Linked DNA regions of Lepisosteus oculatus. The protein of the gene in region 2 purifies or fractionates together with the protein of the main gene of each other region. This does not show direct contact. Links are inferred from orthologs where the notes say so. Each region holds a gene or a part of one and is shown on either strand. Other genes may lie near its edges.

Region 1 (7,981 bases), on a different chromosome or scaffold from region 2:
CTTTAAATAACTGAATCAAAATTTTGCATAATCTCTTTTTCTGAAAATTAGTTCATATTTGTAAAGCGCTATGGCACAAGAGAGAGTTAATAATTTCACTTTTATTTCCATGCATTATATGCCATTTCAGGGTTCATGAAAATGAAAAGACTTAATTTGAGGTTTTGTTAGCCAATGAATGCTTTGGCAAAAATGAATTAGGCAATTTGTTTCTCCTCCATGCGGTTATTTGAAAAAATGTAAAAGGTTCTGACTGTTAGATGAATATTCCCTACAACAGGTATATATTCCAGTATAAACAGCTTGACAAGAAATACTTTTCAAAGCTGAAGAAATACCCACAGCAAGGGGAGGCTGGCAGACATAAGATTATTGTGATTTTAGAACTTTCTATAAGTGTAATTTACTCACCCTGGACACTTTCTGCCTATCAGCTCAGAGATGTCTTTTAAGGCAATTTTGTCTTTTTGTATTTTTATATGACATATATCCCTTAGCAGAACCAGAAAAGGAAATGAAATCAGCCTCACATGCTGTACAGAGATGAGTATGAAGTGAAAAGAAAAAAAAAATCAAAGTTCAATACAGCTGATGTAGCCATCTTCAAGAATTTAAGCAGAGAAAGTAACATCACCTTAACTGCTGTCATTCTTTTTTTTAAAGAAATTGCAAAAGCAATGACAGAAAATTAAACATAATAAGTTACATTTCCAACTGGCTAATGCTCACAAACTGATTCTCTTAGCAGAAACCCAGCTCCCACGACACGCGACCTGAGCAATGAAATCCCGCAATCACTGGAATTGCGCTGTGAAATTCTGTTCATGGGTTGGAAAACTGTCCTCTTACACTAGAGAGGTTGTACTATCAGGGTTGACGCGCATCATTCGTGACCCATTCCTTAGTTCCTGCAGTTGCTTGGCTGGCTTCCCCACTCCTTCTTCAAATCGCTTCTCCACCACAGGAAGGACCGTTTCGTAGAGGAAGGATGCGTTCTGAACGATAAAGGCTTTTTTCTCAGTCTCCTGCTCGCATCGCAGGCTGTAGTCCACATGCTGAACAGCAACCAGAATTATTTCCCGCAGGCTCTCCAGGAGCACCATGTGCAGCTCAGGGAAGTAGAGCTTCAGCCCTTCCTCCAGGAAGGCCATCATTTGCTTGGTAAAGGCAACGATGGTGTAGCTGAGATTTACCCAGCAGTCGTCACCAGTGTACTGCTCAAAGCTGCCCACCCCACAGTTGCGCATCTCTTCTTTCAATTTCCCTAGGGCCTCAGGGGTCATCAAGTTCATTTTGCGCCACATTTCCTCAGAGTTGCGGTGCTTCGTGGCCTCAATGATGATCTCCTTATAGCTGTGAAGGGCAGCTTTGATGTCTTTGACTAGGAGAGACTGGAGGGTGAAGGTGAGGTCCAGACCAATTTCACTTAGTTGCATGCAATGTTCCTTTGCGACCTTCACACACTCGGCAGCAGTGGAGAGGTTCTCCTTGCTATCAAAGACCTGCTTGCTGAAGGCATCCACAAACATCCTCATGGCTGAACGAGACCACACCACAAATGCGGAGTAGCACCCAGTGTTCCCAGCAAAGTCCATCTCAAACTCCTTGGCGGTCTCAAGCAGGCTGGTGAAGAAGATGTTGCAGAGCTTGTGTATGTACAGCAAGGTGGCACCCTCGATACGCAGCTGACGGATGGCTGTTTGAACGGCAGCTGCCCTGTTCTTCAGGAAGAGCTCACAGGCCTTGGTGGACTGGCCCAGACGGATCAGCTGGGAAACTGCGCGCCGTGTGGCTTTGGGGCCACCCCGCAGGGACCGGTCTGGGGAGAGCTCGAATACCAGGACCTCGGTCAGCTGCCGCACCCTCTCATCTACCTTGACCCTCAGCTCCTTGACGGCCTGGTTCACTGGTTGGTCTTTCAGGTACTCATTCAGCTTGTCCAACAGGTCTACAGCTCCTTCAAAGTCACGCTGTGCAATGCAGACATCTAGATCCTCTGGCAACTCCTGAATCCATTCTAAGCTCAAGTCCACAGTCTCCTGCAAACCCATGGCCTCTTCCTCATCAAAAGGGTTGTTTGACACTTCTTGTCGCACTGGGGAATTGGGTGTCTCCTCCTCTTTCTTGTGCCTCTCCTTCACTGCCTTATTTTTTTTGGTTTCATCCAGAATCTCCAGCCACTCTTTCTTAATCTTACTGTTCTCTGCCTGGAAGATCCTGCTATCTGGAAACATCAAGATTTTGAACATGTCTTTCATGGGGGGGTTGTCTTTCACATTGACTATAGCAAAGCTGTCCAGGTCGTACAGGGCGTTGTACTTGTACCTCACTGCACCCCGTCGGTTGGGAAGCCAAGTAGCAATGAGAAGGCAATCATTCATCAAAAAGGCATGAACCTTTTGGATTTGGGACATGTTATCAACATCATATTCCAACAAATCTCCGTTATAAACTAAATACCTTCCAGGGGTCTCCATAATGTTTTTACAGCCCTCTACTTTCTCCAGAAGTGTTGTTAGCGTTCTCTGCTTTAACTCTTCGGTTTCCTTCGGGAAGGCAGCCAGCATTTCCTTCGCAGCTTCATCTTTGTCCGTGGAGAGCAGCGTCTGAGTGATGCTCTCCATTATACTCTTCTGTTCGGTTAGAATGTGGCTGAGCTGATACATTTCGCTCTCCAAATAAGAAATTTCTTTGGCAGTCTCGATAAACTGTCTGTAATTCTTGTAGACATTCTTCTTGAGGTTTTGTGCCGTCTCATCTGCCAGATTTTGTATTTTTTGCCTGTGCTCTTGCAGGTCTCTGTCACCATCTGACTGCTGAGAGAGCTGCTTAACATAATTCTGTGGATCGAAATTTGGCGATTCCAGTTGCTTACGTAGTCTGTTTGCAGTGTCTGCCATTTCCCTTTTCACAGTATCACTAGTGAAAAAAAAACTCGTCAGGTTTATGTTTATACTGCGTGTCCGAATTATTTCACGGAAACAGCCGGAAACCTCTTACAATAACAAACTGACCAACTCCCAGTGAAATCATAGGACCTTCTTTTTTTTCTGGGTGGCCAACAATGAGGTGCTCTACAAAAAACAGAATTCAATAATTTAATAAAAATATGGTTCCTTGTGTAATAAAAAAAGAAAAATAGTTTAATAATTCAACAAAAGTGTGTTTTTTTTCTTAAAAATTCAGATAATCTCCCATTATCATATTTTTTGGAATAAATTTATCACCATGAACTCCGAGTAAGTACATAGTAGGACAATGATATACAGGAAGAAGACGAGGGAGGGTAATCGTATCCCAGCATGCAGTTCAATATAGCAGCTGTTCATTTTTTATTCAACATAGGTGGTTGGTTTTATACACTCGGGCTGTTAAGTTTGTTTTTTAAAGATAAGATGTTACACTTTTATGTGAATAGCAATGATTTTATGAAACTGCCGTCATGTCTTCATTGAAAAAACACAAGAAATAGAGATGGGGAAAACTAACTTTTTTTTCACTTTGACGATAGCTAACTAGTAATTAGCTTCAGTGAACAGTGCTAGTATTGGGATGTCAATGGACGAGGATTTCTTGCTAGCTCTTCAGTTACAGGACCAATTTGATCAAGAAGCGTCCGTCTCCATCGTTGACGACGATGACGATTACGTTCAAAATAAGAAGAGGAGAGTGGAAACCAGTGATGAGCTTGTTACTTACCCTCGGTCCTCTTTTAGACCTGAGAGACCGCTGTCCATAGTGGACGAGTCGTGGGAGATGCTGGACCCCAGCCCCGATGTCAGGGCGATGTTCCTGCAGTTCAACGACATGTTCTTCTGGGGCAGACTGGCCGGGGTGGAGGTGAAATGGAGCCCACGAATGACACTGTAAGCCACCCAACTTTTCCGTTGCTTGGGAATGACATCCAGTATACCCTGGAGATGCTCCGCTGCCACGTTTTATATTCCAACATGATGTTACTGCATTTCATAGTCGTTCCGCTAAGTACCCGTGATAAATAATGTCGAACAGATTCATACCCCACGTTTATATTTCAACATTTCAAAAACTGTAGCTAATGATAGATTTAAACTCCTTTAAAAAGAAAGTAAGACTTTTTTTAAAGAGTTTTATTAGCAGTTCGATCCATGTATGGTTTTGTGAGCTTTAAAAATCTACCGAGTATTTTTTTGCTCTTCTTATGTGCATAGATAATTAAAATACTAAAATTATCTGCTTTCTGCTTAATCCGTTTAAATTGTGTGGATGATTGGCGTTTGTAAAAGTCTGCCACATAGTTGGAAGAAGTCTTATCTGATTCTCATGTTGTGAATATAACGCTTATATAATTATATAATATTAAATATTCCTATATCTATTGTATATACAGTACTATATATTAGTATTACTATTATTGGAGTGGAGCGCACTTTAAGGCACAGTAGGACAAGTGTTAAAAATTAGGCTAGCTCTTGAATAGTCTTGAATAGTCCTGAGTACTTCTTGATATTTAGTTTTCCAGATATTTAGATTCGTAAACATTAGACTGTCATTTCAAAAGTTTTTTTTTCCCTTCTCATAAAATACCCTAGTTTTTTGGGGGAATGACGGAGTTATACAAGTTGAGGCTACTGCTATTTACTCAGATGCAGGGGTAGACATATTTGTATTTGTATGCAAGTCTGATCCATTTCAGATTTTGTGAGCTGTATGCTTTTGATAAATGAAACTGATGACACAAGTAATCAGATATGCATGTGTGTGTAAACAGGGTATTTAGAATTTATTATTTCCAGTTTTGTCTCTGCAGTTTCCTTAAATAAGGTGACAAGCTTTAAATATCCTGCAAGATCCTACCCTTCACGGAGCCTAAAATCTGAAATGGCTCTAACTGCTGTGAAGTGGGAGTGCGGGATGGTTTGAAAGGTGCTGTTTTCCTGCCACAGGTGTGCAGGTGTGTGCTCATACGAAGGGCGAGGAGGCCTGTGCTCAATCCGCCTCAGCGAACCGTTGTTGAAGCTCAGACCGCGGCGGGACCTGGTTGAGGTCAGTCCTGCCGGTCTGCTGCATCGGCTTGCGTTACCTGTGGAATTTCCAAGGCTAAACTAACAAAGCCCCACAGTCTTGTGCCCTTGTTCTTTATTTTCTGAATTTCTGAATTCTGAATTTCTGAAATCCAGTAACTTTTACTTAGAAGTGAATGAAAGGACAAGTTGAGTTTGTCGTTATTGCCAAACAAGTTAACTGAGCATCAAAAGAAACATAAGCCTTACAACTGCAACCCTTACCATCAGGTGCACTGATATTTTATTGACCAGGTTGTTAATGCTGTCTTGTGCAATTGTGTCCCATTACTCTGAAAGAGCCTAGACACACATCACTGGGCTGGTTCACTGGTCTCTGAGCCCTAGATGCCAAACTTTGTCCCAGCTCATCCAGCTGGTCTTTAATGGGGCTCACGTGAATCCAGGATGCATTCAGTTTATACTTTCTGAGCCCTCACCAGTCTGCATATACTACCACTCTAAATTTCCTATTAAATTCCTACATTCACTGTATTACACACTTAAGTGATTAAGTCAAGGCATTTGTTTGCAGTAGGTAGTAAATACGCATCTCCCTCTGAGTTTTCAATGCTGTCACATGTCTGGAAAAGTGTTCAGTGCACTGAACTTAAGAAAGTAGAAAAGGTTATTTTTTTAAAAGTTCATGACATGAGTATGACTGAATATTTGTGTTTTTTTCCAGACGCTCTTACATGAGATGATCCATGCGTTGCTTTTTGTCACTCAAAATAACCGCGATCGGGATGGACATGGACCAGAGTTCTGCAAGCATATGAACAGGATCAACAAAGCCAGCGGGACCAACATTACTGTAGGTGACTGATGGGGAAGAAAGCACTTTTTATATAAGAACAACATTAGAGTTTGTTTTTCAAAAATAAAAATCAGTTATTTAAAAGGTCCTTCAAATTATTTCAGTTTTTTGTTTTGCGTTAACACCACAGTGAGGTTTTGTTCTTAAGTCATAACGTTGATTTTTTTTCTTGAACAAGTCTTGGATTTATTTAAACCCCAGCCCCACTGAGGAGGGGAGAGAACAAAAGTAAAAACAAAAGAGAAAGAAAAGAAAGAAAAACAGGGAGCAAAAGGTACTAAGACAATCAATATGAAACATCAGATATACGAGCAGTGTCCAAAGCCAACATTGTAGCAAAAAGTACAGGGTGCTGCCAAGCTTTCTTTCTAGAAGCAAATTATCATGTAAACATCCTGACCAAACACAAGAAAAAGAAATCAGGCTCTATTACATATCATGCCATAGCCTTTTATGCTGCAGTTATCGCTGCTAAGAAAACTAATTTGTAAAGCATTAAAAGTCAAGAGCATTGAGTTATTTCATATCTCAGGAGATGGGGGATGATATTATCCCACATATAGCTCAACACAGACCTCACATATTTCCAAAATGTATTAAAATGTGTAAAATAAGTGCCCATTACCCCAGATATAGAGAGGCAGGGAAGATCTGTTGAAACTCATCTGACCTCTCTGTCTATGGTAACATAGGCCCTGTGGATAAACATGGAACTAATAAGGTGGTGTGCCAGGTTTTTGGATGATGATGATTATAATAATCCTTACAGGATTACAGAATTTCAAGTGGCTGCTCTGCTCAGAGCACTTTCCAAGTAATGGAGACTCCCCTCCACCACCTCCAATGTGTAGCCCCTACCTTGATGATGTAATGGCAGCCATAGAGCACACAGGACACTCACCACACATCAGCTATCAGTGGGCAGGAGAACAGAGTGATGAAGCCAGTTCATAGATGGAATAATATTACCCCAGATATGACATGTGGCTTAATGTTAGTTTATTCTTTTCTCTTTGCTGCAAAACTGTCATGTTATGTTTATGTGCTTTATATTTAGCTCTTAATAAATCAAAGGAATATGTATATTTACTATAAATATATAGGAATATTCTATTTTTGCCTAGTTCTGTTGTGTATTATGCAGTTATCACTTAATTTTTTATTTTAATGTTTTTGAATAAAGGAACTACATTTTCTTCATATTACTTTATTGTTGGCTGCAATAGTATATAGAGTATGACATTTAAATTTGTTTAGGTCTGCACAATGCATTTTTCAATACATAACCATTATTTTATTTTCAGTTTTTTCTGATTATTTTAATGATCTTAAGCGATGCAATCATTCAGAGTGATTGTGAAGTTCTTGAACAAATATAACACACAAGGCTATCCTGTAAAGCTTCACATTTTTATTCATAATATTCACTGCTTTTAGGATGACATTTTCAAGTGCCTAGATTTATCCATGTCAATTTCAAAAAAGAGAGGAAAGCAGGTTTTACTTGTAAAACATGAGCTTCCAAGCAAGAAGACAAACTGCAGCATTTGCCTAGTTCCAGTACTTTTGCTAAACCTTGTGAACCTTTTACTGAAAAAAACAATGAACTGGGTGATCCAATATAGTACCTTTTCAGTTATAACTGATCTTATGTTCTTTAGCAGGAAGGCAGGTAAAAACAGTTCCAGTCTCAGCTAATCCCAACAGTGGACACCTGTGCATTGGCCCATGATGAGTATGACTCCTATTCTTTTGTGCCATAATAAATGCCATTCTGACCCCAGAGCCAGCTTCACGGGATGGGAGAATGAGACAGGAGACAGACTTTAGCTTGAAATGCAGTAGGAGAACTTTAGATTTTATAACCTATTTTTGGATTTTTTCACAATATCGGCCATGCCACATGGGGGAGGGGTTGGCAGTTTGGCAAAATTGGATGATCGGCGAGTGCTGATGGATTTCCGCGGTGTCTTTCAGATCTACCACAGCTTCCATGATGAGGTGGACCTGTACCGGACACACTGGTGGCGCTGCGACGGCCCATGCCAGACCCGCCGGCCCTTCTTTGGGTACGTGAAGCGTGCGACTAATCGAGCCCCCTCTGCCCGAGACCCCTGGTGGC
Region 2 (8,006 bases):
CCTGCGGCGGTACTGCTGCACCTTGTCCAGCTGGTCGGGGCGCTGCAGCATGCCGGCCACTCTCTGCACCGCCTTGGCCACCGTCTCCCTGTCCGTCTCCTCCATTGCCGCCGCCTGCAAGCAGAGGAGTCGCTATGAGCGGCGGGGCCAGCCGCGGACCGGGCTCTGGGGCTGGGGCGCGGGGAGCCGAGCAGCGACACAGGAAGAACAGACGTTCCCACGCGAGGTACCTTCAATAATCGCCAGTGATACTGACAATCCCAACAACCACCTCCCTCCTCACACAGCTATAATGTGTGATGATAATGTTTCTTTATTAGCCCTATACAATTTCTTGCATTAGGAATTCGTCTTTTCGCATACCCCAGCTTTTCTCCATGGAGACACAGACACACAGACAGGGAGAGAAGCTGGGGGTCAGAGCGCTGGGTCTGCCATTGTACGGCGCCCCTGGAGCAGTTAGGGTGAAGGGCCTTGCTCAGGGTCCCAACGGAGTAGGATTCCTCTGCCAGCTGCAGGATTTGAACCAGCAACCTTCCAGCCACAGGCACAGATCCTGAGCCACAGAGCCACCCCTCCGCCCTCCTCTCAAAGCTGAGATAGGCCTGAGAGACAACAGATTTACAGACTTTACTAGCTCTCTAGCGACAGAGTCTATGGTCAGGAACTGTCCTAGCCCTTCTGAACTACTTGTTTGCTGATCCTCCCATTTTTGTATCAACGGCACCAATTTGACTACTTTACTCTATCAGAATCTAGATTCTTGTTCTAAATCAGAAAGGGCAGTGGTCCTAGTACAGACCCCTGTGGTACTCCACCAATTACTAGATCTTCTATCAAACAATTCTCAAATTAAACACACAAACATTTCCTCCAAATGTCCAAAACCTCTCATTTACCTTTTCTGTATCTATGCCGATTATCCCTTAGGAACTTAATTCCATATAGGCAATCCACTAGTTTATGTCAAATGATAGTTTCTTTAACCCTACATGCAACAGAAGTCAAACATATTTGTCTTACTCCAGTTTTCTCACTAATTCTACGGATGGACATGTTATTAGCAATTCTCCAGTCCCTGGTTCCTTCCCCTGTCTTCAGGGACGGCTGGGAGAGCTGCATCCATGGCTTCTGAAAAACATCTCTAGTTTCCACGAGTGCAATTAAAGAAGATTCTGTCAGGCCCTGGGGATTCAATCATCCTGAGAACTTAAACTCTCAGTTTTTGGAATATTTCTCAAACATTAGAGTTGTGTGGGCTCTGTGAAACAGCAAGTACAATGACGTGTCTGAATTCTAAAATAAACCTCTTCAGCCATTTAGGAATGTTAAATCACCTGATTAAAGACAAAAGAAAATCATTCGGTCATGCCGAGATAAAAAAAAAACAAACAAAAAAAGACAATTTTCCACTTTGTTACATCTGGTTTCTGATTTTCCTTCAAACCTTTCTAATTTGTACCACTTGGCACAATAAAAGGATTTCCATTTCGGACAAAATTCTAGGGTGCCTGAAAAAAGCAAAACCACAACGCACGCAACAGTTTGACATTTCCAGAAACAGAAGGTCAGAGAGTTCCAAAGCACTTCAGTGGTTGATTTGAGTGTCATGAAAGTTTTTCTCTCAGCTAGTGCCTGTTTCAATACATTTATTCCTGTCCACCTGACAGGTTAAGGGTATGGAGTCTGCAATACACTGATTTCTACACGTAATAAATGAGTGTATATTCAATTCTGTCTTCTTAGCAAGCAATGTGCACTTGGCAGCACACTGTTACACAAAATGAGAAATCATATTCTACACGTCTGCTTGGCAATGTATGTGCCTTCAATGTGATTGCCAGGGGTTTATGGTAACCTGTACTTGTCCACCTACTAATAAACACTACCGTGTCACAATAAACACTACCGTACGCACACAAACTGACACTTTGCAAACACACACCAACATTATCATTGCAAACATTACTTTGTGCACACAATCGCAAAGTACTTGACACGCACAACAATGCGTATAAATTGCGTGCACAAGAGATTCTTTGCCCTTAATATGGAAAGCATCTTGCACCCGTAACAATGTGAATTAACAGCGTTTTCAGCACTAATCCACCACGACATTAATCAACAAATCTGATATATTTCGATCCGGTAGATAAGCAATTACCTCTACCATGCCGAAGCAATTAATAAGAGTTGGCTGTAAATGTAAACAGTACATCTGAGGAGTTTAGCAAAGAAGCCCTCTCTTTGCAAAACGTCAAAGCACGGTGCTCAAGTACCGTATGCAAATCGGTTTCATCATTATTTCTTATTTAAGCTTGTATTATTACTGCTAGCATCTGCGCGTTTCGTCTGTTTATGCGAAGAACTGCGTGTTGTTGAGCGCTACGTGCTGCGATTGTCCCGCAAGACGCACAACCACAAAAGCCTTTCCCAAAACCAGGATCTGACAGCAAGTTTCCAGGCACGGCAAATGGAAAAATATCTACAGGCCCAGGTGACAGCCGGAACAATTTCGTTTCCTCCCGACGGTAAAAACAGGGACTCACCGCGCACCTACCTGTGAGTGATTTCCGAGGGAGTTGAAAACACACCGTTAAACAGACTGCATTAATAAATGCATCCCATATTCTAGATCACAAAATAAAAACTACCCTTCTCGGTCGCGGTTCGCTGTACGCCGCCCAACTCGCCACAACTGACTGCCACAACTTCCTATTCGGGTTGCCTTGCATTCTGGGAGTTGGAGTTTTCTCAAGTTCCTACAACAAAGACTGCAAAAATTCAAGATACAGTGCACGGACAGTATAGTCTATATAATATTCGAGCCAAGGCCAACCAAGTGACACATGTACTTGCCCTCTGCGATTTTTTTTATGGCTAACACGACATAGTTTTAAAACTTCAGTACGCTGAGAAACGAGCTCCAGCATAATATGTTCTACTACTGTACAAATGTAGTTTGATTTGCTACCATGGCTATCTGACAGCTAGCCTCTCACTTATGTCATTCGAAAATTCCCTAAAACCTGCTACCAAAAAGAAAATAAAACCTTAGAGCTGAGTACTTGGTGCCCATAAAAGAATGAAACTCTGTATTTGGGACAAATCAGTAACAGTCCACCTTTTAAAACAAAATCAACAATATTAGATTCTAAACCGCCAACAACATTGAACGGAATGCTGGGATGGGCTTACTGTTTCAATGACAAGGGTGACAGTACAATGCCCTTGCCAGACCTTCACCATCTGTGCAGGACAGTGGTGTTATCTCTCGTCTTCTGTAGGTAACAGTCTGTACCGAAACACCCGCCGTGCAGAAGCACACATCTGGTAAGGGACCCACAGTCCGATGAGACTGTTTCTCCTAAGCAGTTCAGCAGTTCAGCTCACAGACCTCAAGAACCACGTCTCTGTGCAAAGTGCATTCATCTTCAGCCCGAACTAGCTGCTTCTGTTTTTTATGAGCTTGTTCATGCTCCTACCGCCACTGAGGAATTCCTCTACCTTTTAATTTTAACATACTTTTAAAATGCAAAGGGCACTATCATTATTGCCATTATTCATGTGCACTCTTAAATGCAGTTTCATGTTTAAGTTAACGTTCATTACTAAAATGCTTAGAAATCCAGTATACTGTTTGTCTGAGTGGGGGGGGGCTGAGTTACTCCGTACTGGAGGAAGAAAAGGTTAACTACACCCTACAAAACACCGATACACCTGGAGAAGGTTCAATGGCTGAATCGTGGTGTTTCTTCCTTCATCATGGAGGTTTCTTGCTCTTTTGAAATCCATGGGCTGTTGTCCTTGGTGGTGTTTTCACTTGAAAGTGAGCAATGTCAGGGGTGAGGCTGGCAGGAGCTGTTTGCAGGATGTGAAATGTGGCCTTTGGCACAGCCCTTGCCCTGTCCTGAGCTGTCCTGCGTTAACTCCAGCTAACTCCAGCTGTTCGTTTACCATGCAGTAATCAGCACCACTCCACCGACTGCAGCGAATCCGGGAGGTGTCTTCCGTTCGGAAAGCTTCCCAGAAGGCGACGAGAGCACAGTTTTCAATTCCCGGAGTCGTGTGAAGGGACCTCCCCATCAGAGTTCACACCACATTTGTCACAAACCAGGCGCTGTTCCTACAGATGTGGGCTTCATCTCATTTGGGTTTCATTTCCAAACGAAAAGCCTCAGCAGGAAGTGGTGAAAAGATGGGAGAGAGTCTAATGCAGGAAACTACTGTACACTCCTTAAAGAGTCTCATGAGTGTCGGCAACTGCAACATTCACCTCCTTTTTAGATAAATATTGCTCCCTAGCATTGCTTGAAACATAAACCTTCAACAAGATTGTGAACATAATACACCTTAGGGTTCACAATCTTGTTGAAGGTTTATGGGGTTTAAAAGCTGTTACGCAGCTATTGTAGACTGTTTTATAAAATAATGTTTGCAAAATATTTACAGTAATGCAAACCCTTACACCTTAATTTTACAATGATTTACACATTATATGTATATGTTACACTGAAGATAAATATCAAACGTATAACTGTCTCTTAGAAATATTTGCATCAGGTTATGTAAATCAAAAGTAAAATATTTATATGGGTTATTCACAATATTTATAAATGACTTCACAAGAGAATTGGAGAGACAGTACAATATATCAATTGTTATTAGTCCATGATCCAGTGAGGACAATGATTAGGATTCATTATTTAATGTATTTGCTGTATTTTCCAATAAAACATGATAGTCTCTACTAAATAAAACATTCCAGGATCCAAAAGACAGTAAATCATTAAATTGTGGTACAGTGGGCTCTGAAATAAAATAGGCCATTGAAGGTATTGTCAGCTTGTCATGTATATGTTTATCTCTTTTCCTAAACCTGCCACTAATCATCTTAAAAGGGCTTATCCCAGTCACTGATCCATAGTACTGGGTACTGTTGTTTGTTTGTTTGTTTGTTTTTTTGACCTGGCATGCCAGTTGTAATCTGAGGGATTAAGTGTCATTCAACAAACCCAACTTGAACATAGAATGGCAAATGAAATTTCAAATCAGAGCCTGTCCATCTCTTCTCGTGAAGTCTGGCTAAGCATCACCAGCTTAAAAGAGAACCTGGTGAATTGTGGGTACAGTATTTTAGCTGCTGCGGCGAGGCTATCTAGAATACCCTCCAGAAACCTGAATAAATCAGGTTCACTTTTAAAAAGGTGCAGCAGGTCTGTAGCTGTTGCTTTAGAAATACAATAAATGCAAACAACTTAAATAATGTTTGTTAAAAATGATCTCTGCATAGAATATCTTCAGTGTGGAAATGTTCTGAGGCGTGAGATTCTCTGCCCTTGTCAGAGAGCTTCCTGACCATTTTAAATTATGTATTCTTTTAAGGAACTCATGTTCAAATCCAATTACGTACAGTACAGTACAGTACCATTTGCTTCTTGGCAAGCTTCTTTTGAGAACTAAAACTGAGTGATCTGATCGAAGCGAAGTCCTAACGCGTTGAGGATCTTTAGAATCAGTCGGATTCACATTTTCGTGCCAGACTTTGGGGTAATTCAACTTCATAATATTAAATAAAGATCAAGATTCTTTGTGCGGTGAGAGCAAGCAGTCTCTCTACGCATTTTATTCTTTGACATGTAACACATCACTCTCGGCTTGTGTCTGAAGGTGTTCCAGCTGAAATCTTCCCAGAAGTGGGACCGCCAGGCAGCCGGAGGGGCGAGGAGCATGTGGGATCAAAAGTAACCCCTTTTGAACGGAATGACACTTTGCCGGGGTAGGAGTAGTTTTATATGCAAACTACTGCTGTTCGCCATGCCGGAGTTTATCCTGGTCTCTGTAATGAGCAAACACGTACAGTAACTCCACCCTCTCCGCGCACCTTACCTCAGGATATTTACATGAGCTGGAAAGGACACCGAGTGAGAGGTACAGTACCTGGCACCAGACCCTTGCTCAATGAATGAAGAGATCTGCTTTTTAAATGGTATTTGTCACCCAAGACAAGTTAGGTGGCGTTTTCCGCTAAAACGCATTTGGTTTGTAATGACCCTATTTTAAACTGTTTATAGCACTTGGGAATAAGAAGCATTGATTGCTGTGTGATCTTCTGGTATGCTCTCTGAACAACACGAACCAGAGCGCCGACAGTATTAACTGCCTGTAACACAACGCGGTTCCTCTTTTGTAGGTCAGTTCGTGAGAGACCCAGTGAACACCTGACGAGTCGAGAACGGTGACAGACCGAACTTATTGCACTTCTGTGTTTTGCTTATGCATTTCGGTATAGGTACGATTAAAGGGATCTTACAATTATCACAGATAAAAGAAGAGAAAATGTATGTGTAAGTGTGGTTTTCCTTGGCATAAAAGACTGGAAACATTCTTTGAGGAAAAAAAAAGGCTTTCAGTGCATTCAGAAACCGTGCAGTCATTAAATCCTGTTTTTACAGTTGTGCATTAATCACTCCAGTTTTCTTAACAATTATGTCATCAAACGCGTTCACATTCCTAGATTTATTTTAACTGAAGCCCTGAACAATTAGAATATGAGGTCTGAGCATGGCAGCATGACTGACTAGTATTCTCCGAGGGCGTTCTTGTGTTGAAGCAGATTCCTCTCCACATCGTCGTGCTTCTGCTGCCTAGTCCAGACACTCAGAACCACACGCAACATGACATCGCACACACTTCGCCGTCCGCCAGGTCTAACAAAGGGCCAAACATCATCCGCGGGCAAACGCGACACTCCCACACTCCCACGGTCTCCATCCCCACGTTCTCGGCTTCACAGAGAACCGCGATTTAGTCTCCCAGCTGTCAACCTGTGAGCCCTGAATGCCCTCCAAGCATGCAGATAATCTTCATGCAGATTTGTGAGCTACAGTCATTCTTCTTCAAGGATGCTCTTGAGTTGTAGCTGTGCCACCTAAAAACTGATTACATAGGTGGGTCAGAACGACATGCAGTCTGGTGACTCTCTGCCTCCCAGTATGTGGCCTGTCCTGCGCAGTGCCAGTTACCTGTTTATTCCGCTGAAAGTTGTTGAAACAGACCATCTAAATTTTGGGGGCAGCGTCTGTCTTAGTCACTTTTAATCATGCCAGTAGAAACCAGACAGTTTTCTTTAACCAGGAGGAATCTACTCTAGATACCTCAACTACATGAATTAAAATCAAGTTCTTCAAGGAATACTAATAATAATACTGAAATGATCATCAAACCTCTCTGCCCAGTAAAGACAGATACATTATGTTAATTTCATTTAAAATGTAAATAACATAACGTATGTGCCCAATGAGTTGTTGATATGCTGTACAACTTAAAACTGTTGTGTTTCCATGGTGTATCAGAAGGTGCACAAACAGAGTACAAACCTTGGGGTACAAATAGTAGTGAATATCATGAGGATCTACTGTCATTAAGTGTTTTTGGAATCACAACCTTTAAAAGTCTGTCACTTCCTCTCTGTTCGTGAGATAAGCAATACGTCAAAATGACTCTATCAGTTCTGAAAGTTTTATTGAAGTTTTGTCAAAAAAATACACACAAAATATTATTGAGAAAATGCTGCAATACATATTGTAGGTGCTGCTTTGCAGCTACAAGATTAGCTGAAGAGCTTGTTTCATTTACTAATGTATTGATCTTAAAGGGTATATTTAGGAAAAGGAAGACTAGAAATTCTGCCTTTTTGTCTTATATGAAATAGCGCAAAGCCCCCAGACAATAATTTTAAATAAACATTTCTGCTAGGTTGCTGACAATAAATACAAAACATTGGACACATTATGATATTGTACATAAAACAGAACCAAAGCAATGATTTTAAAATGCGAAACATCAAACCTGTGCATGTCAATTCGACATTATGTCTAGGTAGCAGTAAGATTCATTATCCAGTTCTTTAGTGCAAGCTCAAAAAAGAAACTGAAAGGAAGCATAAAAAACAGTAGCTTTATGTGGGTATGAAATGTTCTGCCAAGGTGAATTAACCTCAATCC

What was found.
Region 1: the proteins of exoc3 (region 2) and exoc8 purify together in Homo sapiens (affinity purification with mass spectrometry; 5 studies listed by BioGRID and IntAct, counting the BioPlex papers as one, with this or other methods). This does not show direct contact. The link is inferred for Lepisosteus oculatus from reciprocal best matches to the Homo sapiens genes EXOC3 and EXOC8.

What each region holds. Positions count from the first base shown.
Region 1 is NC_090697.1:55,327,123-55,335,103, reverse strand, and holds the start of exoc8 (exocyst complex component 8), read right to left. Parts: upstream 3,044-7,981; 5' UTR 2,901-3,043; coding exon 846-2,900; 3' UTR 1-845. Other genes in the region: DNA-dependent metalloprotease SPRTN, read left to right, coding at 3,553-3,866, 4,926-5,025, 5,728-5,856, 7,837-7,981. UniProt on the Homo sapiens protein: Component of the exocyst complex involved in the docking of exocytic vesicles with fusion sites on the plasma membrane.
Region 2 is NC_090701.1:3,226,847-3,234,852, reverse strand, and holds the start of exoc3 (exocyst complex component 3), read right to left. Parts: upstream 3,096-8,006; 5' UTR 2,550-3,095; intron 2,524-2,549; exon of another isoform or gene 900-2,523; intron 115-899; 5' UTR 106-114; coding exon 1-105. UniProt on the Homo sapiens protein: Component of the exocyst complex involved in the docking of exocytic vesicles with fusion sites on the plasma membrane.